3 linked regions of the Elephas maximus indicus genome follow. The protein of the gene in region 2 interacts with the protein of the main gene of each other region in a biochemical or structural test. Links are inferred from orthologs where the notes say so. Each region holds a gene or a part of one and is shown on either strand. Other genes may lie near its edges.

Region 1 (7,520 bases), on a different chromosome or scaffold from region 2:
TGCCCGAACCATTCTGCTTCCTGTGCAAGGCCCAAGTCCAGGTCACAGATGGCAGAAGACCCTGCAGGATGGGGGAGAAGCACACAGCTGGGCCAGGAAAAAAGGAAGGGAACAAGCTGAAATCTAGGGCAGGTGGAGAGGAGCACCTGAAAGCTGAGGGCGGCAGGTTTCTCCGGTCATTTTGGGGGGTGCTGTGGGGCCTCAATTGTCTTAGGCTAGCTTCTAGCTCCCAGGCTACTCACAAGTCAGTGTGGGGAAGTGAGTAGGTTCAGAAACAACTACACCTACAGTGAAAAAGTGTCCTGTGCTATAAAAAACAAAGACAAACCAAATCTATTGCATCAAATTGATTCTGACTCATGGCCAAAGGCCTAACTGGGGTCGGGGGAGGGGTTAGGTAGGCCATGTGCCCTGGGTATTGCATGTGTGCCCTGGGCGCCGCTGGAGGCAGGGCACCTGTTAGCAGTTTCTATCGGCCATCACGGTTTCCCTCGCCAGCTGTGAGAGATCATTCAGCAATTTAACACTAATTGTCTTGGGCACTATTTTCTGTAGTTAGGTCCCTGCTCACGGTGATCCCATTGTTAGAGTACAGCTGCTCCTTAGAGTATTGCCAGGCCTTTCTTCCATGGTGCCGCTGGGTGGGTTCGAACAACCAATCTTTAGTAGTTGAGTGCAAACTGCTTGCCACCCAGGGACCTTGGTTCTATTAAAAAAAAAGCCTAGGCAATTTGCCGGAGAGGCTGATAGAGGGTGCTCTTTGTTTTCCACTGAGGGAAGCCACATGGACATGGACAAAATTTTATGTGTGAAGGGACCAGCCTCCCATGGCCTGAGCATGGGACAGGAAATGGCAGCAAGAGACAAGGCTGGAAACCAACAGGGGTTTGGTCCTGAAGCTCTAGAGGGTGGGACATTATTCAGTGGACGCTGATGGGTGGCAGGAATGGAGAAGAGGGAAGGAGAGGGGGCAAGTATCTTTGTAGCAGTCAATTGCCAGGACGCAGCACCTGGCAGCAGCTGACGAAGCACAGAGGTTTCCAGGCCTGGCAGAAGGTGAGGAGGCCGTGCTGGAAAAAGGGAGGCTAGAAGTGTGATTGGGAGCCAGGGTTGGCTTGGAACTCAGTGTGGGACATGGTGAGTTTGAGGTTGGGACAAAAGTAAAGGTTTATCTTAGTCTTTTCCTTTCCTTGCCCTGAAATAGGGTCAGGAATGCTGAGATTCACCTGAATTCACCGCGGCTGCAGCAGCATCAGGACCCTGGACAGGCTAGTCTGCCAGCAGTCACGGTTTAGACATGGGACAAGAATGAAAATGTCCCAGCCAGCTGAGCTCCCTGGTCAATGCCAACGAGGGTTCTTCTGCCTACTGTGAGGGGGCACGCATCTTGCCCATTGTAATCTTTACGAAGATAAATTTGCCAGTTGGGGGGTTGAGGGCCAGTTGACCCAGAAGCAGCCCTGACCACTTGGCTGCCCGCTACCCTGGGCACCATCCACAGAGTGGCTGGCAGACAGGCTTACTCCTGGTTTGTGTATATCCCCTTTTCTTCTGTTCCCACAAACTCATGATCTTCCTTCCACTCCTCAACTGACAAACCGGGGCTGATGCTGCTGGTGTGGAGGTGGATATCACTCCATCAAACCTCTCGGCCTCTCTAGAAGCAGCCAGGTGAGCTCCGCCAGGCTGTCATTACTGACTTTGCCACACTTCCCTGACCACTTTATCCCTCACTTTCTTTATCTGTAAAATGGAATAATGGGCTGGGGGTAGGGGAGAGCACTGCCCAGTGCCAAGCCCACACTCAGGCCGGGTGGCTTGGCTCCCCTCTAGAGGCTTGCTAGTGACCGGGGGAGGGGTCTGCAAGGACTGCCCTAGGATCAAAGGGGACCGGGCCTGCGGGCGGGGATAAGGACTGGGTATGACGGTGCCCGGGCGCAGGGCGTCTGGAGCGCAGGGCGGCCAGACTGGCGTACTCACCGCCGCCAGGGGTCGCTGCACTAACATCCCAGGCCGCTCCTGGAGCCGATCCGGTCCAGTTTGAGGCCGAAGCAGCCCTTGGACAAGCCCTTCTTGTTGCCTCCTTTGTATTTGCGCGCGTTGGGGTGCTCGTGCATAAGGCGAGGAGACCACGCTGCCCGCGCCTTGGTGTCCACGCGCAGGTCCCGGAGCAGTCGCGATCCGTCACCCTTGAGATTGGCGCCCCCGGGAGCTTTGTCGCCCTTTTTCTGACCGCCACCTGAAGCCTGGGTCTCGGTCACCTCCTCTCCCGGCGGGGTGCGTGGGGCCTGTCGGAGGAAAAGAGTAGGCAGGTGCAGGGAAGCGCGGTGGCTGCGCGGGGGCCTTTGCGGGGCCCGTGATGCTCTGGCCAGAAGCATCCGCCAGCGCGGTTTGTCACTTGTGATGCCGGACAGGTCTGCCCCTCATCCACCTGCCATGCGGCCACGGTTGTCCACCCTTCGGGGATCCCCTGCCCTTCCCTCCTTCGCCCTTCGCCCGTTGGCCACACTGGGTCCCGGGCTGCGCCTCTGTCAAAGTCTCCCGGAGCTGGGAAGTCCATCCTGAGTCCGGGCATCGAGGGCTTACGGCTCTCATCGCGCACAGCTCGGGGGACAGGGCCGCCTCCTCTATTACCCTCTGCGCGCCACATCCTCCCGGGACCCCTGCCCCGCGCAGGCCTGGGGTCCCCGCGACAGCACTCACCTTCGGTGGCGCCCCGGGCTTGGCTTGGGAAGGCCGGAGCGAGAGCAGCGTGAGCAGCAGGGCGCAGGCCAGCAGCTGGGAGAGGTGCATGGTGCCCGCTGGGTCGAGGACGTGTGAGGCCTGCAGGAGAGCGGGCGAGCGCGGAGAGGCGGGCTGGGCTGCGGGCGGGCGCGGGTCTCAGTGCTGTGAGGCGCCGGCTGGGTGCGCTCAGAGTCCGCAGCTGCGCTCCCGCCTTTATAATCCAACCTGCCGCTGATGTCATCCGCCCGCCCACCCGGCTGCCCCGGCCAATGGCACGGTGCACGCGGCCGCCCTGGGGCCAGGAGGGGGCCGCGGATGCTCCCCCTCCGCCGCCACCTTTATCCCAGCCCCGAGGGACCACAGGCTCGGCGGGCTCGCTTCCCGCAGCACTCAGAGCTGCAAGGCGGCGCGCGAAAGGGAGCTCCATTTGCAGCGCGCGCGCCCTGGCGTGCCCAACCTGGTGCGCCCCTGCCCTGCGCCTGCACTCATGCCTCATCACCCCGCGCTCCACCTGGAAGGGACCAGTTTTCCTCCTTGCAGGTGCAAGGACAGGCTCCGAGGAATGAAGTCACTTGCCCAAAGTCACACAGTCAGAAAGTTGGCGGAGCGCGAAATCCACGCAGACCTGCCTTGTTGCCAAACTCGTCCCTGGGCACCTGATGGGCGCTGGCAGGGACTTCGGCTGCGTCTTCCACCTGCTAGTCAGGGACGCTCCTGCCGCACCGACGCTGTAGGGTAGGGGCAGCAGCGGAGGATCTGGCCAGACATCCGGGTAGGAGGCGCTGGGAGAGCGGGCTTTGCCCGGGCCGCAGGGGGGAGCGCCAGTCTTCTGCAGGAAGAGCGCAAACCTTGCGCGTGGGCGTGTGTGTGTGTGTGTGTGTGTGCGCGCGCGCGCGCGAGCACGCGGAGACAGGAAGAGGGGCCTGCAAAGGCAGGCCCGGGATACGGTGCCCTCTTGCGTGTGCGCGGCGCAGTGTGTGTCCCCGCTGTGGCTCCAAGCTCACTCTGGCCACCGCACAGAACGTCCCCGCCGCATACCCGTGGGGGTGGGTTTGATCTGCTTGGGCCAGGGTGCGGCGAACTCTGCCTGAGCCCACTCGAGAACCCGCAACGTGGGGATGTCCACTCCAGTGTCCTGTGCTCCCTCACAGGCTAGGCAGGGAGCTCCACCCGGACTCAAACCGCGCCTGGCCTCCGTGAACCGAACAGGTTGTAGCCTTTGCGTTCTTGGCCATAGAGAGGCCCCGTCACGGCTGGCTGTCGGGACACAGCCGCGCATCCGTGCGGCTCACGACTCACTCTCCTTGGGTAAGGCTTCTCGGGCCCCAGGGAGTCAGTCTCTCGGGACGGACTGCAGAAGCGGGGATCCTGGTACCCCAAGAATTGGGTGAGATGCGCTCATCTATCTATGCCCATGCTGCCTCCGAGCAGAATTCGGATTAGAGAAGGAAGAATAAATGCAGTTGTCGCTATGGGGATGTGGTGGCAGTACCCAGGTGTGAAGATCACCCCACGGGACTCAGGAACAAGGATAGGCTTTTTCAGCGAGAGGAAGCTGCACCCCCGGAGGGAGGGAGGCTGGAGTGAAGAGGGGCCTGGAAGACCAGGTGCCCTGCTGTGGCTTTTGCTGGCCTTGCAGCCCAGAACTGGAACCAGGGAAGCAGCAGTACCGTTGTCTGGGCCTCAGCCCCTGCTTTGGCTCACCCCTTCCCACACTTGCACCCTGAGTGGGAATCTCCAGACCACCTGGATCCTAGGTCCCTTTGTTGAGCAAATAAAATACACCTGGGGCCTGAGTTTGAAGCAGCAGAGTCCCCAGACCTGCAGGAGGATCCTGACACCAGCAGGGCATCCTGTGTGGGCCCTGGGGTGTTGACTCACCACTTCCAGGCAGCCTGCCCTGATTGCCTCTCCACCTTAACACCTGCAGGGTGGCAGGACTCTATCATTTGAGGAGAAAAAGGAGCAAAATGAGGGGGGGAGGAGAGGGAGCTTGGGGTGTGCTGTGGAAATTCCCTCTTCTCTGCCGCCTGGACAGAGAGGAATCTCACCATTGGAACTTCTCGGAGACTTGCTTTATTTATACAGGTTTAAAGAGCCCAGCCATTCAGTCTTGAGACAGCTACCAGTCTGGCATGGGGGGTTGGGGGGCAGTGGCCACACACTCTCAAGCCCACCCTTAAGTACAGGAGGTCACCTCCTTCTGCCTAAATGTCTGTTAGTTGTTCTTCATATCCTCTGTTTCCTGGATGCACTTGGTGGGGAACTAGCAGATGTCTAGGTCTTCCCTCTCTGAGCTTTGGGTCTAGATTAGAACACCCAACCCCCACCCAACCCCAGAGAGGGCAGAGCCAGCACCCTGGACTCTATCACCCTTTTTGGGAGGGGAATCATCTGGCAAGCCCCCACTTCTGACCAGTAGGCTGGGGCCATTTGGGGCAGAGCACACCCTGGAGGGGTTAACTGCAACTGGGAGGCTCCCCGGGGGCCAGTTGGGGAGCAGCTCCTGCTTAGCTGACCTGGGAGGTGGGGTGGGTCAGCGAAGTCTGTGGGGTGACCTAGAGGGACTTCCAGGAAAGGAAGTAACCAGCACATGACTTACTTGGAGACTGAAGATTTCGCCTTTGGGATTTGCCCTCTTGCAGGGCCCCCCAAAGGGGATTTTGGGTTCCTCTCAAGGGTGAGCTGCAGAGAAAGGCTCAGGCCCTTTCTTGCTGCTTTTCCCTCATGGGATCATGACAGAGGCCTGGCTGGAAGAGATGGACCCACTGTGCAGCTGAGCATAGGTCATTGGGACACTTTATTGAATGCTCAGTGTTACAACGCCTTCTGCTGGTAAAGGAGGGAAAAAGTCTGTTGGGCCTCAGTGACCTTGCTGATTCCCTGCAGCCCACACCCTCGTCCCTGCAGCCCACACCCTCGTCCCTGCAGCCTGCACCCATGAGGAAAGTCCAGTGCTCCAGAGCTGGTTTCAGCAGGAAGAACCCCCAGAAACTGACGCTTGCTTTGTAAGATGAAAAGGACAATGACATAGGGCTGTGGACACCCCAGGTGGGTCTGCCTCTACCCTGGGGTGGCCGGTGGGCTTCCTGGAGAAGGGTAAGGCCGGGCTGAGCCTGGAGACATGGCCCGCAGGCCCTGAGAGAAGAGCGGAGCAGAAGAAGACCCAGATGAAAAGCAGACTCCCTGTGGGTCAGCCATGGCTCCCTCAGCACCTGGGGCTTAGAGGGGCACCACAAGTGCCCAAAGAAAAAGTCCAATAAGAGGCCTCGCCAAAGGGCCACCATGAGAAACTGAGGGAAACAAGAAGGCCAGGGAAGTGGCCACACTCTGCTTGCCAGTTGTAGGAACAGCAGAAGGTCTCAGGTAGAGGTGTCCAAGGAGCCGGGCATGGGGAGAGGCCAGCCTAAGGTGGTCTGCAGCATTTTGGAGGAAGGAGATGTGATAGGGAGGTGTGGGGGGGGTGGTCTCCCAGGGGTGGCAGCCTTGTGCTGTTGGGCGTGGGCAACAAGCCTGTTGGGGGAGAGGGCATGGAGAGAATGAAAGGAAAAGTGGTGGGTTGGGGTGAGTGGGTGGGGGCAGAGAAGGAGCAGGCAGTAGGGAAAGTCAGAGAGAGACTGAAGTGTGCCAAGCCCCAGGTATCAGAGCCCTCATGGCTGGGACCCCGTCTCCCTCCTGGCCTCTGAAGAGGTGGGGGTACGTGGAAAGAAGAGACCGTATTCTTGTGGGCTGCTTCCTCTCTCTTTCCCCTCTTGCAGGGCCTTGCCACCCAGGGGCCCTTCCTTGGCACACTTGACATCCAGGCAGTTAGCCGAGCCTGATGTGAGACCTAATGCAGGCGCCTCCGGTGAGGGAGTTATTCCCCAGGGCTTCTGGGAGGCCCAGCAAGGGGGCTATGTCAGGATTGTCCTGCCCGCTCTCCCAGGAGTCCTGGTGAGCGCCTGCAAAGGAGCGCCCCCTTCTGGCCCGGTCGAAGCATGGCAAGTTCTCAGCCGCTCATCTGTTTTCTCTGTATTTCATCCCAGGGGCCCCTTCCAGCTGTGCAACTTCTTAGAGAGGACACTAAACAGGCAGTGAGCAGGGCAATCGCAGCAGAGCCCTGGCCAAGTTCTGTCCCTCAGCGGGGCCTTGTGTTTCACCACCTGTAATTGGGAAAAGGTGGTCTTTGCCTTCTGGTCAGGGCAGAGAGAGTCAGGGGGCCCGGGGAGAGGGATCCCAGCCCTGGACGAAGGCAGGAGGAAGCAGCTGGAGCAGAAGAGGGATTTGAATGTTACTGCGGGGATTCATGCATTACCAGGCGGGAGGATCCGGAGCCCCCAGACTCTCTGGGACCATCGGTGAGGGGGGCTTCCCCAAGCTGCCAGCCTCCCCCATAAGCCCTGCACCTCTGGGGCCTGGCCTTAAGAGGGGAGCCAGAGGCCAAGAAAGAGTCATCCATCTTTTCCAGGCCAGGACTTCAGGATAGGTTAACCTCTCATCGTGCCAGGAGGTCTTCGTCTGGCCCCAGAACACCCCCACCTGATCAGCCAGCTGCCCTTTTCCCCTTTCCCAGGGGCCCTGCCCAGCACCTGCTCCAGACGGCCTCCAACTCTGCTGATATACGCAGGCCCATGACGTCAGAGTTTACCCCGCCTTTTTTTTTTTTTTTTTTTTTTCTTTTCAAGAAGAATAATACACGGGAAAGGTTTCTAATCCTTGACAGATAGGTACAGTTTCCTGGGGGGAGTAACTGCTGCCCATCTGGCTGTCAACAGGCCAATGAGGGGCAGAAGCTGCAGCCCAAACACTGAGAATTG
Region 2 (7,734 bases):
TCTTGCTTCCTTTATAAAGCCTTCCTAAACTCAACCCACAAAGACTCTTCCTCCTCTGAGCAATATAAAGTTCTTAGCATCTGTTCCAGGACACATAATCCTATCTTTTCTCATACTTGTATCTAACTGTGCCACAATCATGTCTCGCCTCTCTAGAAAGATTGGAAGCTTCCCAGGGATTGGGACTGATTTTTTCCTGAACTGTTCTCTCCCACCATATAGCCTATTCCTGGCACTTAGGAAAGTCAGTGCTCCAGGATCTTTGGAGGTAATCAGTCAGTCTTGGCAGACACACTGAGAATCACTCAGGTGGGGACATAAGAAAGGATGACAGTAGACTTGGAAAGCCTCTGTTCATCTCACTCCTGTAGCTTAGAATTCCTGCCCTGTTCCTGGGGTTCCTGTGGGATTTTGAGAGAGACAAAGAGAGGTAATCTCCAGTGTAGCACCTCTTCCCCCTCCTCCTTCAGGTTTGGCTCAAATGATACCTGGAAGGCCTCTCTGAGAGCCTGGGCCTGTTCCCGGGTGCGGTTGTCCTGCCAGGGCCGGCCTGTAGAGCGCGTGGGGCCCGCACGGAGACTCTCCCCAAAGACATCCAGGTAAAAGAAGACATAATCCCCATTGGTCAGGTTCTCCCTCTGGGCCTGAAGCAGGATCTCATGCAGCATTTCCAGAGGGCCGCAGATATACACAACTGGGTACAGGTACACGACAGAGGAGCACTCTGAGAAAGCATCCAGGTCCTCAAACAGTCCCCTCTCTGAGTCATCTTCATTTTCATCTTAGCAAGAAAGAGCACGCCCTAACCTATCAACCTCCCAGCAGATGCTCCCCTTGTCATTCCCCCCTTGGAGGCTCTGTCATACATACCCTGAGGCCATATGGACCATCTGGCAGATGTCATAGCCTGACTCCAGACCCCAGAGGAAAAGAGCCATCACCCTCAAGCCCCTCCTTTTCCCAGAGCCTTGCTTGCTACTCACCACTCAGCCCTCCTCACTCCCCTACTCTCCTCTGCCTTTGCCTTGGCTCAAAGGTATTGCTCAGAGTTTCTCTCAGTGTGAGCTTTACCTGTGTTTCCCAACCAAATCTGCTCAGCCCCCAAGCCCATTTATGGAATCCTCACTATTTTCACGCTGCCAAAGGGTCTCGGTGCCCCAATTTGAGAAATCTCTGCTCACAGACAGGCACAAATATCAGAGTGGCCATCAAACACATTCACAACTCTAGGGTACTCCCACTGCTTCCTGAACACAAAATCCCCAAATCCCATGTTCTCCACTGATACAAGCTTCATTCCTCATGCCATCTCATTTCTTTTTTACATCTGCCACAACGTCTTCATGCTCTCCTCATAGTGCCTTAGCCCTCTCACAGGTGCTGTGCCCACGTAGGCTTCTTGATCCCAACCCTCAGGTACAGCCCCTCAACGCCTATTTTCAACTGCAGTTTCCTAGTCCTGAGCTCCAGGGTGACAGCAACCCTCCTCCCCTGACCCTGAAACAGCCCGGAGCCACACTCACTGCGCCCGTTGGCCCGGATGAAGTGGATGGCCTGCTCAGGGCCCCCTGGCTCACGGGCATACACCTGGTGCTGCACACTGAGGTTGCTGCCCTGCAGGGCCTCAAAGACGCCCTCGATGGTGAAGTAGTGAGGTCGGTCATCTGTGCGAGCATCCAGATATAGCAAGGCAGCACGGGCAGTCCAATTGAAGTGCCCATGCAATGTCACTACAAACTCACCCAACTTGGGCGCAGAGGGGCCCGTGCGAACCAGGGTACGATAATGCTCGTTCTTAGCTGCAAAGCCAGAGGCCACAGCACCCGCAGTCAGCAGGGGAAGGCGCCAGTGGGAGGCAAAGCGGGCTACAGAGGCAGCTGGGTACACGCAACCAGGGCCCAACAGAAGGTCAGGGTCATGGTACAGCTTGAGGTCCACAGCACGCAGTGGTGCCAGGTACTCAGAACAGGCGCCATCTAGTTCAGAGCTGACAAACCGCAGGTCCACGGGCAGTGCTCGGCCCAGTGCCTCCACAGCTAGTGCCACAGCAGGACCCACTCGCGGCCAGGCCCAGGCATAGCTCAGGTTGTGTTCTGGCAGCACCACTGCCAGCGTCAGATTCCGAGCCCCGGGAGGACGCACCCCACCTGCCAGGGCTGCTACCAACAGCAGGAGTGATGGCAGTGCCATGGGGATACAACAGTAGCCCCACCACCCCCAGGACCTGGGGCTGCTGTGGCCTACAGAGGAGGCACAATCACCACCCAGCCTGGCACCTGGGAAAGGGGGCTAGGAAGAGAAGTAAGGATAAGCTAAGTGGGCGGGGACACAGAAAGTGCTGCGGACTGGGGAGAGGAGGGTAGGGTGGGTGGAAGCCTCAGGGGTAGGTAAGGAGTGGATCTAGCAGCCTAGGGCAAGGGCTAAGGACAAGGCTGAGGACTACGTACATAAGAGTAGGGTGGCAGGAGGAGGGAGGCACCAAGGGGGCCTGTGAGCGGGTTGCGGGCAGTGCGGGGTGAAGTAGCCTGATGAATCAAGCTGAGAAGGAAAAGGGGATCTGAGGTTAGGATGGGGTGGGGGTGGGGGGGGAGGCCGATATAAAGAACCGGCCTGGGGGTACCTCCCAGCTGAAGGGGCTAGGAGGGCAGAGAGCTGCGAGAAACAGAACCAAGGGGGTAAGGTGAGAGGGTGCCCGCGCCGCAGAAGAACAGGGACCATGGGCTGGCGGGGAGCGAAGCGAGGCCTGGGCCGGAGGGAGGGGAATGCAGGGGTAAATCTCCCCGTGAAGGCTTCTCCCGAAGCTCCAGCTTGGACTAACGGGCCCTGGGCGCTGGTCCCATCCGCAGCTGCGGCGGCTCCGCCCGTGTCCCAGCTCCTCTGCTCCGCTCCTCCTGGGCCCGGCGGCCGGCGCTGCCCGGCGCTTCCTCCCGCCCCCCGCCTGGGCCCCCGTGCGCGCCGCTCGTCCGGGTCAGGTCGCCTCGGCCGGGCCCGTCCCCGCTCGCTGCGCCGGCGGCGGCGGCCGAGTGTGACTCCCGGGGCAGGCCGCCTGCCCCCGCCCCCGCCCGGCCACTTCCCCCGCCCCCTCCCCCACGGCCCCTCCTCCTCCCCTCCCCGCCCCACCCTCCGGCGCCTGCTGTCTCCCTCTCACCCCCTACCCGGCACCCAGGGACCTCCCATTTCCCAAAGCCACCCCAGTGAAAATCCGGGGCTCTGCACTAGGGGCTCTCAGGCCGGCGTGCTTCCCGGGTGTCCCCTCACTCGGGGGGCCTACCCCTGTCTCCCCAAGCCCCTGGTCCAGCCCGCCGCCCTCTTGCCATCTCACACGTTCTTCTCTCCCTTGCCTATCCTGCTCTTCTTAGGGTCCCCTCTCTTAACTCCCCTGAGTCCCTCATACTCTCCAGTCTCCAGGAAGCAGTCAGGAATTCTCAAATATTTGGTATCCTCACTAGTCCTTCACCTAATAAACTTATTCCACCCTTCTAATTATCACGAACCTCACACCCTTCAGTAAGACATGCCCCCTCACTGGGAGACAGGCTTCTCTCCAGAAGCAGCAGGCCTCCAAGGACAGATTTTTCATGAGTTCTTAAGTCCTGAGTCTCCTTCCCTGGGACTTAACCCTCCGATCTCCATCTTCCTGTCTCCATGTCCCCTCTTGTGCCCTCCCCCATGTCCTCAGAGGCCCACCAGAGCCCACTGGGCTTCCCCCACACCATCTGCTCCAGGGCAGCACCCAGGAACAGCGTCTTCTTTCTTTGTCTCCCTCCACAGCACAGCCAGCATCTGGTAAATGCTTGTAGCCTGACTAAGCACAGCATTCCCTCTGCAACGGAAGCCCTCTGCACCCCCTTTGGGTTCCACCCCTGTCCTAAGCTTCTGACCTAGAGAGCTCACCCCAGGTACTCCGTTTCTGGAGTGCTTATCTGATCTGAGGAACAGCTTGTGAAGGATGATATCATGGTTGCTGGGAGGAACTGTTATGGGACCTTGGGGAGTTTTCCTCAAACTGTCATAAAGGAGATGCACATAAACCCATTCTCCTCCCCCTGCGGAGAGCCACAGTTTATCACCCCCTTCAATCCACTCCTCCAGAAATCACAGTGTCAAGAAACTAAGAGAGCTTTCTGAGCAGAGGAGGGGAGGGTGGGAGTGTAGGTAGAGAGAAGGGAGGGGCGCAGTTTCTCTGAGATGAAGGCGACACCTAGTGGCTTTGGGGTGGAAATGAAGGACAATGCCATTTTATTCTCCCAAGGTATTTATTTATTTATTTATTGAGCAGGGGGGTGCCTTGCACACGTTGTAAGGGTGAATACAAAGAAAACTGAATAAAGTCCTTACCTTTAGGAGCACGCTGTTGCAATTCCCAGGGCTCAGAGGCCAAAGGCAAGCCCCCTGACGATGTTTCTTGCTCCAAGCCCAGTAGAAACAGAAGCCTCAGGACAGCTCCACCTTTAACACGGAGAGATGGTAACTCTTGTTCCAGACTCGTGATACCGCCACAGTGAAAAGGAATTTTGTCCTGCCTGGGCAAGGAAAAGAAGGATGGAACAGAGGGGTGACAGAACACCTTGAAAAGACATGGGTCTAACATTAGACAGGCAACCAAATCATACTTTTTTTCTTAATAATTTTTATTGTGCTTTAAGTGAAAGTTTACAAATCAAGTCAGTCTCTCACATATAAATTTATATACACCAAATCATACTTTTTAAGCAACTACACACAGCTTTGTGGGAGAAGCAGAGTCAAAATGTCACCACCTCTTCCAGAATTATGGAATGTCAGGGCTAGGAGGAATCTTGTAAATATATCATGCAATGCCATCATTTAAAGATAATTGAAAAGTGAGTCCCAAAGAGGGAAGTCACATAGCTACCCCCTAACCCCCACATGGTTTTTAATGGCAGACTAGAATCCAGTTTCCTGATCTCTAGGGCAGGGCTCTTCACAGATATTCTGCTGACTAATAGACACCAGTGAAGACCAGCCATCACTCTTACCCAGACTCCCAGACAAGTTTAAGCTCATGATATGTCGTTATGCTGAATATTAAGGAAAATTCTGCATTATTTTTGGGACTAAACTTTCAAGCATCTTGCACCCTCCGTCTTCTTTCCAACTGGCCCTTTAGACTTGAAAGTGGGAACAGGCAGGGAGATGAAACTTAAATTATTTAATGTGGTTTCTTATCAGCATCCAGTGAAAGATTTTTGTTTTTCTTTTCCCTTTTGGGGGAAGGCTGAAAATATTAGATAAAAGAGATCTTTCCTTGTCTATATATTCCAGTTATCCAAAATATTATTGCCGTCATTCATATGGATAATAAGATTTTGACTGTTTTTGGTGACTCCATGGAAACCCATGCAACCCATATAAACCCATCTACAGATCTTTCTGGCCTGAGCAGCACCCAGCTAGGGTACAACTTCCTTTCTGTAGGGTTGATATGGCTTCTTACTACTCCGCAGATCCCCCGTATAATGACTCCTGGGACAGGGCCAGCCGAAACACCTTATTACTAGTCCGGATTTAAACTCCAGAGCATCTAATGGCTAGCTGCTAGAAGCTGCTATGGTTTCCTTGTTGTTCCTGCTATGTTGTTGCTGGGTGCTATCAAGTCAATTCTGACTCATAGTGACCCCATGTGACAGAGTAGAAATGCCCCATAGGGTTTTCTAGTCTGTCATCGTTACGGAAACAGATTACTCGGTCTTTCTCCCCCACAGAGCTGGGTAGATTTGAACCACCAACCTTTTGGTTAACAGCCGAGCGCTTAGCCATTGCACCAAGCCTGTTCCTTAGTGAAAAGAAATCAAAGCCCTAGTCATGTTCAGGCCAATGGAGCATCAAGACCTTAGCTGAGTTCTGGAGCTACCATGTGGTTCAGGCTCGTGCTCATCTTCTCCATGGTAGGTCCTGATGTCCTAAACTGACTCCCAGGTCAGAGCTGAACAGTTTCATAACTTACCTGATTTCACAGCTAAGTCTGGACTTTCAAGTTTGCTCTAAACCAGAGCATGCCCTCCTGGCCTGTAGAATTCCAGAAAAACAAAACACCTTTCAGTCTTCGCTCTGCTTGACCAGCCTGACCTGCAGAAAAATACTTTGACTACATGCAATTATCCCCTGCACACAAGACCCTTCCAAGAGAACCTGCCAACAGAGGGCAGAGAACAGCCATGAAAAGTAAGCTAAAATAAGGCAGAAAAGATCCATTTCAAATGATGGATTTCAGTAAGGGGGAAGGGGAGGCAGTATAATAAAAGAAAGGTAGTGAACCATATAGAAGGCAAAGAAAGAGTTTATTAAAATTCTACATTATTTTTTAGCCTCAGCGAGGGAGAATCTTGAAAATCAATCAACCCATTACTGCTCAGGTACCCTACTCCCCTCCACCTCTCTCCTGCCCTCACAATCCATGCAGCAGGACACAGTAGGTTCTAGACCTTGGGTCCAGTGCTCTTCATAAACATTCATATGAAAGCCTCCTCAAAGAGTTGCTCTTATTGTTTGAAGGGTCAAATGTTTTTACTTTTAATTCATTCATAGCTTTCTTTTGTAGTTAAGCTTTAACTTAACTTTTGTAAGTTAAGCTTTAAAATTTGAAATATTTTCAAATCAGGTCCTAGCTTTCAACTTACCTGCCTAGGTGTGTGTTCTAAAAGATGAATTAGTACCATATTCTGAGGGCCAGAGATATCAGCTTTGTGAAAATAGAAGTCGTTTTTCAATGGAAAGTGCTTCAGAGAGAGCCAGTGATACCTAAGAGAGGAATTTAAAAATCGCCAGGAGAAGCAACCATGCATCTTTGTCTTATGATGATCCATGCTCCAGACGAACCCATACTTCACCCATCTGTTCCATCCAGGCCTGGGCCTGCACCTCCTTGAGTGTCCAGACAGGTCCCAGTGTCTCCTCTGCTCTCCCACACTTGGCCTGTCTTCCAGGTAGGTACATATGCTGCTTCCCTATGTTCTGATTACCACCTTTCACCATTATTACCAATCCAAGTGGTCACTTACCACCCCTTGGAGCATATGATAGCATAAAGTGTCAAATATAATATTTTCTTCCTTGCTCCACTTAAAATCTCACTTTCTTCACAAAATCTTTCACTGAGACGAAGTAGTATGCGTTCGCTTCACCGTTTCAAATTTTGCTAAATTTACAAATATCTCACATAAAAACAAGCAATATCTCACATAAAAACAAACATAATTATGACAGTTTCTATAGAATGGAAATGTATTAATCACTATTTTAATCTTCTGCTCTGCTTTGAATTTCCTAGAGAAGCCAAAAACAGGGAAATCCCGTTGCTGTCAAGTCGATTCCGACTCATGGTGACCCTACAGGACAGAGTAGAACTGCCCCATAGGGTTTCCAAGGAGTGGCCGGTGGATTCAAACTGCTGACCTTTTGGTTAGCAGCTGAGCTCTTAACCACTATGCCACTTGGGATCCAAAAACAAGGAAGAGGAGAAATCTGGAGCAAAATTTGACAAAATTGGAAAGCAGGTAATACACACAAGTGTTCTTTGTATTGGTCTCTCTATATGGTTGAAATATGTGATGAAAAAACAAAAAGAGAGCTATCAAGCCACAAAAAGACATGCATATTGCTAAGTAAAAGAACCCAGTCTGAAAAGGCTACGTATTGCATGATTCCAGCTATATGACACTCTGGGAAAGGCAAAACTATGTTGGGTTGTTGTTGGGTGCCATCAGGTGACTC
Region 3 (6,209 bases), on a different chromosome or scaffold from region 2:
GCTCTCCTCCAACACCCATCCCACCCAATTCTGCCCAGTCCGACCTCCAAGTACCTGCTGACTAAGAGGGAGAAGCAAGCAAGCAATCTTTTTTTTATTATTGAACTTTAGATGAAGGTTTACAGAACAAACTAGCTTCTCATCAAACAGTACACACATTGTTGTATGACATTGGTTAACAACCCCACCACATGTCAGCACTCTCCCCTCTCAGCCCTGGGCTCCCTATTACCAGCTGTCCTGTTCTCTCCTACCTTCCAGGCCCTGCCCCAGGCTGGTGCGCCCCTTTAGTCTTGTTTTGTGCCACCGGACTGTTTAATCTTTGGCTGAAGCATGAACCTCAGGAGTGGCTTCATTACTGAGCTGAAAGGGTGCCCAGGGGGCTACTCTCAGAGCTTCTCCAGTCTCTGTCATGCCAGCAAGTCTGGTCTTTCTTTTTGAATTAGAGTTTTTGTTCTACATTTTTCTCCAGCTCTGTCTGGGACCCTCTATTGTGATCCCTGTCAGAACAGTCAGTGATGGTAGCCCGGCATCATCTAGTTGTACTGGACTCAGTCTGGTGGAGGTCGTGGTAGATGTGGTCCATTAGTCCTTTGGACTAACCTTTCCCTTATGTCTTTAGTTTTCTTCATTCTTCCTTGCTCCCGAAGGGGTGATACCAGTGGAGTATCCTAGATGGCCGCTCACAGGCTTTTAAGACCCTAGACACTACACACCAAAGTAGAATGTAGAACATATTCTTTATAAACTCTGTAGCAAGCAGGCAATCTTGACCCTCACTCCACCACAGGTTGGCCAGTTTAGCAAATAGGAATACACGACATCTGGTTAAATTTGAATTTCAGGTAAACAACAGATACTCTTTTAGTATGAGTAAGCCCCAGCTGGAGCACAGAATTGGAGGTGCTGGTGTGCTCCTCACAGGTGTGCAGCAGGAAGTGTACAGGTACAGGAAGCCCCAGGACAGCAGCCCCCGGCAGATGCTTGTTAATGCCAGTCTAGGCAGAAGGAGAGGATGGGTTAAGTAGGGAACCCTAGAATGGGAAGGGCCAGGGGCCAAGCCTGTCCAGGGTCTGCTCCTACCTGCGAAGTCAGCTGCTGCCCCAGGATCAGCCTGTGTGGGCCACACAGCATCTCTCCAGGGACTCCTGTACCTGGCTTTTCTGTGTCCCTGGAACCCAAACTGGTCCTTTAGTTGGTGGGCCTGTGCCACCCAAATCAGGCTTAGCCTGGGCCAAGCCAGGTGGCCCGATCAGGCCTGTGGAGGTCAAGTGTAGCATCACTGTGGTCTTGCCCCCACCCCATAGGACACTGGGGGCAGACCCCAGCTCCCTGCTGAACTAGCAGCAACAGAGAATGATTGTCACATCTCATTTCCAGGTTGGTGGCTCTGAGCTGAGATGTGCCCTTAACCTTTCCTTCGCCAGGAAGGAGGTGAGTTGCCTGTGGGTTGAGCTACCACTGTCACCGCAACAGCCTTTACTGAGGGCTTACTATGTGCCAGGTACTATGCTCAGCATTTTACATAGACCGTATTAGTTTCCTATTGCTGCTGTAACAAGTTGCCACCAACTTAGTGGCTTAAAACAACACGAATTTATCTTACAGTTCTGATGACCCGAAGTTTGAAATCAGTTTCAATGGGCTAAAATCAAGGTGTTCCTTTTGGAGATGCTAGGAGAGAATCCATTTCCTTGCTATTTCTAGCTTCTAGATACCACCTGCAATCCTAGGCTGGTGGCCTCTTCCTTCATCTTCAAAACCAGCAGCGTGGCATCTTCTCTCCTCTCTGACCTCTGCTTCTATTCGTATGTCTTCTCTCAATGATTTTGATCCTTTTGCCTCCGTCTTATAAGGATCCTTGTGATTACATTGGGCCCAGCGAGATAATCCAGGATAACTCCCCATCTTGAGATTCTTAAGCACATTTGCAAAGTCCCTTTTACCATGTAAGGTTAACATAATCATAAATTCCAGGGATTAGGATTTGGACACCTTTGGGGGAATGTTACTGAGCCTGCCACATGTACCATCTAATTTAATCCTTGTACAGTAATGCTATGACATATGTGATATCATTACCCTCAATTAATAGAGCTGGAAAGTGTATGGCATACAGTAGGCACACTCAGTATTAAGTTCAGTGTCTTCTCTAAAATCTTCCACAATCCCCTTCACTGGGATGGCTCCTTCCTGGCCTGATGGGGCAGGTGGAGGCTCTGTCAGAGTGTTTAGCACTTAATTGTTTCCCCTGGAGTTACTCTGTCTTCTCAGCAATATCACAAATCCTTTGGTGTAGGGACCAACTCTCACACATATTTCTAATTATTTGGTTCTTTTCACACTGCCAAAGTCTTTTACAGACATCATTTTCTCACTTTTATTTATCTTCCAAGGATGCAGAGCACCATTATACCCAATTTGCAGAAGAGAAAAGTAAGGTTCAGGCTAGATAGTGTCAGTGCTTGAGAGGTGCTGGTTGGCTGCTGTCTTTCTCCCGACCCTTCCCTTCATGATGCCCAATGTGAGGGACCCTCTACACTCTTTGCAGTTCCCAGTCCTCTACTCAGCTCTTCACTTTGTTGGATTCTGTTGCCTCCCCTCTATTCTCAGTGAATCTTTGGATATTCCTCTTGTGGTATGCATGTGCACACACACACACACTGGCCCAGCCCCTAGAACCTCCTAACCCTTCCCCCTCTCCCATCCTCATCTGTAAAACACTCATCTTACCCACAGTTAACATCCTTCCCCTGCACACACAGCCACCAGACTCACCCCACCCCCTCTAGCACAGCTCCCTATACCTTCACAGATGACAATGAATTAATTTTTTTTCTAGTAGAAACCCTTTGCAGTCACCCTAGCAGTGATTAAGAGCTTCAGGTCTGGAATCAGACTGCCTGGATTGGAATCCGGGCTTCACCACTTGTCAATTGTGTGGCCTTAAGAAAGGTGATAAATTCCTCTGAGTTGTTTCTTCATCTGAAAAGTGGGAATATCAGTATTCTTTCCTACTTAACACTTGGCAACTGCTTTTTTTAGGCAAGAGTTGCTTAGGGGCCCAAGCTTCTTGCTGCCCTTCCCCCCATCTGTCATAACTTATCTTCCTTCCTGTACAGCCCTATACATTCACCCTGCTTCTTGTTAACATAAATTCTCTGGAAGGGTGTTGACATTAGTCATGCACACTTTAGGGGAGGTTTAAGCAGCTGTTTCTCTTCCCAGAGCCAATTTTTGGAGCCCTATTTCTGATTACAGGTGGCAAGTCCACCTGTGCTCCCATCTGCTAATGGGAATTAGGTAATGAATAATCATATGGAGGAGGAATTGGGGGGGACTCTCCATACACCTTGTCCCACCAAATAGATAACCATCCTTCCACCCATCACCTCTTTTTCCATCATGTGTCTTGGTTGGTGGAGGAGAGGAGGTGTTGGCAACTGGAGGACCAGCGATAGAAGGCATTCCTGGATGACTTCATCTCAGGGGCCTTGCCTCTCAAAATTCCAGCCGAATCAGCTCTACCCTTTAAGGGATAGAAGAAAGGTCAACATTCCAGAAGTTCCTTGTCATACCCAGGCATTTAATTAGATGATATTGGGGGGGTCAGCATCCCAGTGCTGTAAGGCTCGAGGGGAGTGGGAGTAAGACGGTGAGAAGGGGTCTTAGAGATCTCTTGCCCCTGCCCCGTGCAGGTCTTTCTGGGCGGGAAACCCCATGAGAACCAGACTTCATGAGTAGAGTTTGAGCAAAGTTCGAGGTCAGCACCACGGACAGCGGTCGGCGCTCCGGTACTCGCAGCCGGGCTGGGCGTAGGAACTCCGGCGAATTGCTGAGTTACAGGCGGGAGGGGAGGTGGGGGAGATGTCCGGTGTTTGGCGTTGTTCTCACTCTGAGTCACCGTGCTCCCCGCGCTAGCGTCGAACTTTAGGATGCTGGAGTTCTTCCTACCCTCTCCAGGAATGCTTGGGGGTGGAGAGCGGAGGAGATGGAGCCATGCCTTGGCCCTTGGATTTTTGCAGGAAAGAAAGAATCAGGAGAGACAAGGAACCTGTTGGTGTCCACCACGAGTTCCCGTCCGGGCCCTGCCCATTTCTGTACAAGGCCTGTCCTCCCCAGCCTCCACCCCCAGGGAGTACTAGTACCAGACCCTGAAGGGAGCATGCCTGGGCCCTGAGATCAGCGGGTCGGAATGCAGCTGATAAAGCACAGATAACCCAGGAGGGCAGGACAGACCCTGCTCCCAGCACGGGGATAAAAGGCTGTGGTTGCCCAGGAAGCCAGGAGAGCGCCTGTGGACCTCAACAGGTGGGACTGCAACCGGGGCTCTGAGCAGCCACAGCAGCAGTAACCCCCGCCTGGCTCTTCGACATGGACCAGACCGCGCTGACCCGGGCACTTCTGCTCCTCCTGTTCCTGCACCTGTCGCCTCCGGGAGGTCATTCCCACCCTCTAGGTGGCCCTGACCTGGACTTGGAACTGCCCGGGTTACAGGTGAGCACTGCGAAACTGTAGATACAGCCAGCTGGGAGAGTGTTCCTGTAGCAGCAAAGAACTGGTCCACACCTCTTGTTCCAAGGAATCCCCACCTTCCTGTGGGAGTTAGTGAAAAAGGAATCAGGAAGCAGTGAGACTGGGTGCTAGGACACCCTACCCAAGCAGTTGGTTCACATGTGCTCCATGGAGGGGGTGCTGAGGGAGTGGGGGTTACTGAGGCTCGGGCTCCCCACCCATCACAGAAGCTGTTGGACCATTTGCAGGACACGGTCTCTGAGGTGCAGACGGAGCCAGTGATCCTGGAGCCCGTCCAGCAGGGCCATAGCCCTGTCGAAGCCGGGGAGGCCCAGGAGGTCACGGTCTCTGAGGTGCAGACGGAGCCAGTGATCCTGGAGCCCCTCCAGCAGGGCCATGGCCCTGTCGAAGCCGGGGAGGCCCAGGAGGTATCCCCGATGGGTGTCCCCCAGCCTCAAATCCCTGAGGCCCAGGGGAGACTACCCAGCCCCAAGATGATGAGCGATTCTGGCTGCTTTGGGGGGAAGATGGACCGCATTGGCTTCCACAGCCGCCTGCGCTGCAATGGTGAGTCCCCAACTTAGCACTCAACAGGAATGCTGCACACCCACCCCATTCTTACACTGTCCACACTTCCATACACTTCTGGGTTTTTTGTTTCTGGGGGCCACCAAAAAACCCAAACCAAACCCGTTGCTGTAGAGTGGATTCTGACCCATAACAACCCTATGGGGGCCACAGTCTTTGCAAAAAGGGCACCTGGACACATCACTCCCTCTTGCTGAGACCTTAGGGTCAAGGGGTGCCTTTCTAGAAATATTAAATACGGGCACCATTCATTGCCATCCTCATGAGCCCCACCCACCTCTCATCATCTCTCTTACCAAAAGGGGCAGAATTAACTTAGAGTGGACCCCATTCATTGTCTGGCAGCCCCTATCTGGAAGGGCCCCAGATATCCTTTCTCCTGGTTTTCTCAGGGCTACTATTACACCCACTTTACAGATGAAGAAAATGAGGCCCACCCACAGAGATCAATTGTTCCAAGGCTTCAAACATCAAAATCAGCCAAGGGCTGGGGGTGGGTGGCAGGGACGGGACATGGTGAGGGGACACTCAGATCCTGCCTCAGTCTTCTAGCCTAAAGATATAATCACTCTCTCTCTTCTCCCCACAGTGCTGGGGAGCCCTTAAGAGGAAGTCCTGGCCTCAGGCATCTGCCTCTGATCCTCCAGCTGGTCTTTCCCCAACCCTGTGATCCCCTTCAATGACTCCTATTTATTTATCTTTATTTATTTGGTTATTTTACAAAGATGGTTTCTTACTTTTGAGCACACGATTTCCATGGAGAAATAAAGTCAACATTATAGTGTTATCTTTTGAAACTAATTTGTCTCTGGGCATTAAAAGAATAATTTCCAAAAAACAGAACAAAACCCTGTGTTTTCTTGAAGGCGTCTTGATGGTGAGGTGGGGACACTAGCCTTAAGGGCTGGTTAAGCTGGGTGGGAGGGTGTCTTTCTTTAAGGGTTTTTCACGCTCTGAAATGTCTACAAACATCTCAAGCACTTGAGACACTTGGCAGAAACTGCTTTTCAAAGCAGGGCCGTTTCTTCCTGGGAGAGAAATGGGCACGACAGATTCACACAACAGAGTCACACAAGTGAGGGTGTATGTCCGCAAGTCTGCCCCAC

Evidence for each region.
Region 1: the proteins of NPR2 (region 2) and NPPC form a complex in vitro, tested with the Homo sapiens proteins (3 studies listed by BioGRID). The link is inferred for Elephas maximus indicus from reciprocal best matches to the Homo sapiens genes NPR2 and NPPC.
Region 3: the proteins of NPR2 (region 2) and NPPB form a complex in vitro, tested with the Homo sapiens proteins (3 studies listed by BioGRID). The link is inferred for Elephas maximus indicus from reciprocal best matches to the Homo sapiens genes NPR2 and NPPB.

The regions. Positions count from the first base shown.
Region 1 is NC_064824.1:134,186,256-134,193,775, forward strand, and holds the start of NPPC (C-type natriuretic peptide), read right to left. Parts: upstream 2,871-7,520; 5' UTR 2,794-2,870; coding exon 2,704-2,793; intron 2,289-2,703; coding exon 2,001-2,288; 3' UTR 1,981-2,000; intron 1-1,980.
Region 2 is NC_064827.1:44,581,271-44,589,004, reverse strand, and holds the start of NPR2 (atrial natriuretic peptide receptor 2), read right to left. Parts: upstream 3,011-7,734; 5' UTR 2,191-3,010; coding exon 1,524-2,190; intron 695-1,523; coding exon 489-694; intron 1-488. UniProt on the Homo sapiens protein: Receptor for the C-type natriuretic peptide NPPC/CNP hormone. Has guanylate cyclase activity upon binding of its ligand. May play a role in the regulation of skeletal growth.
Region 3 is NC_064821.1:51,724,963-51,731,171, reverse strand, and holds NPPB (natriuretic peptides B), read left to right. Parts: upstream 1-4,374; coding exon 4,375-4,497; intron 4,498-4,742; coding exon 4,743-4,853; intron 4,854-4,943; coding exon 4,944-5,082; intron 5,083-5,692; coding exon 5,693-5,709; downstream 5,710-6,209.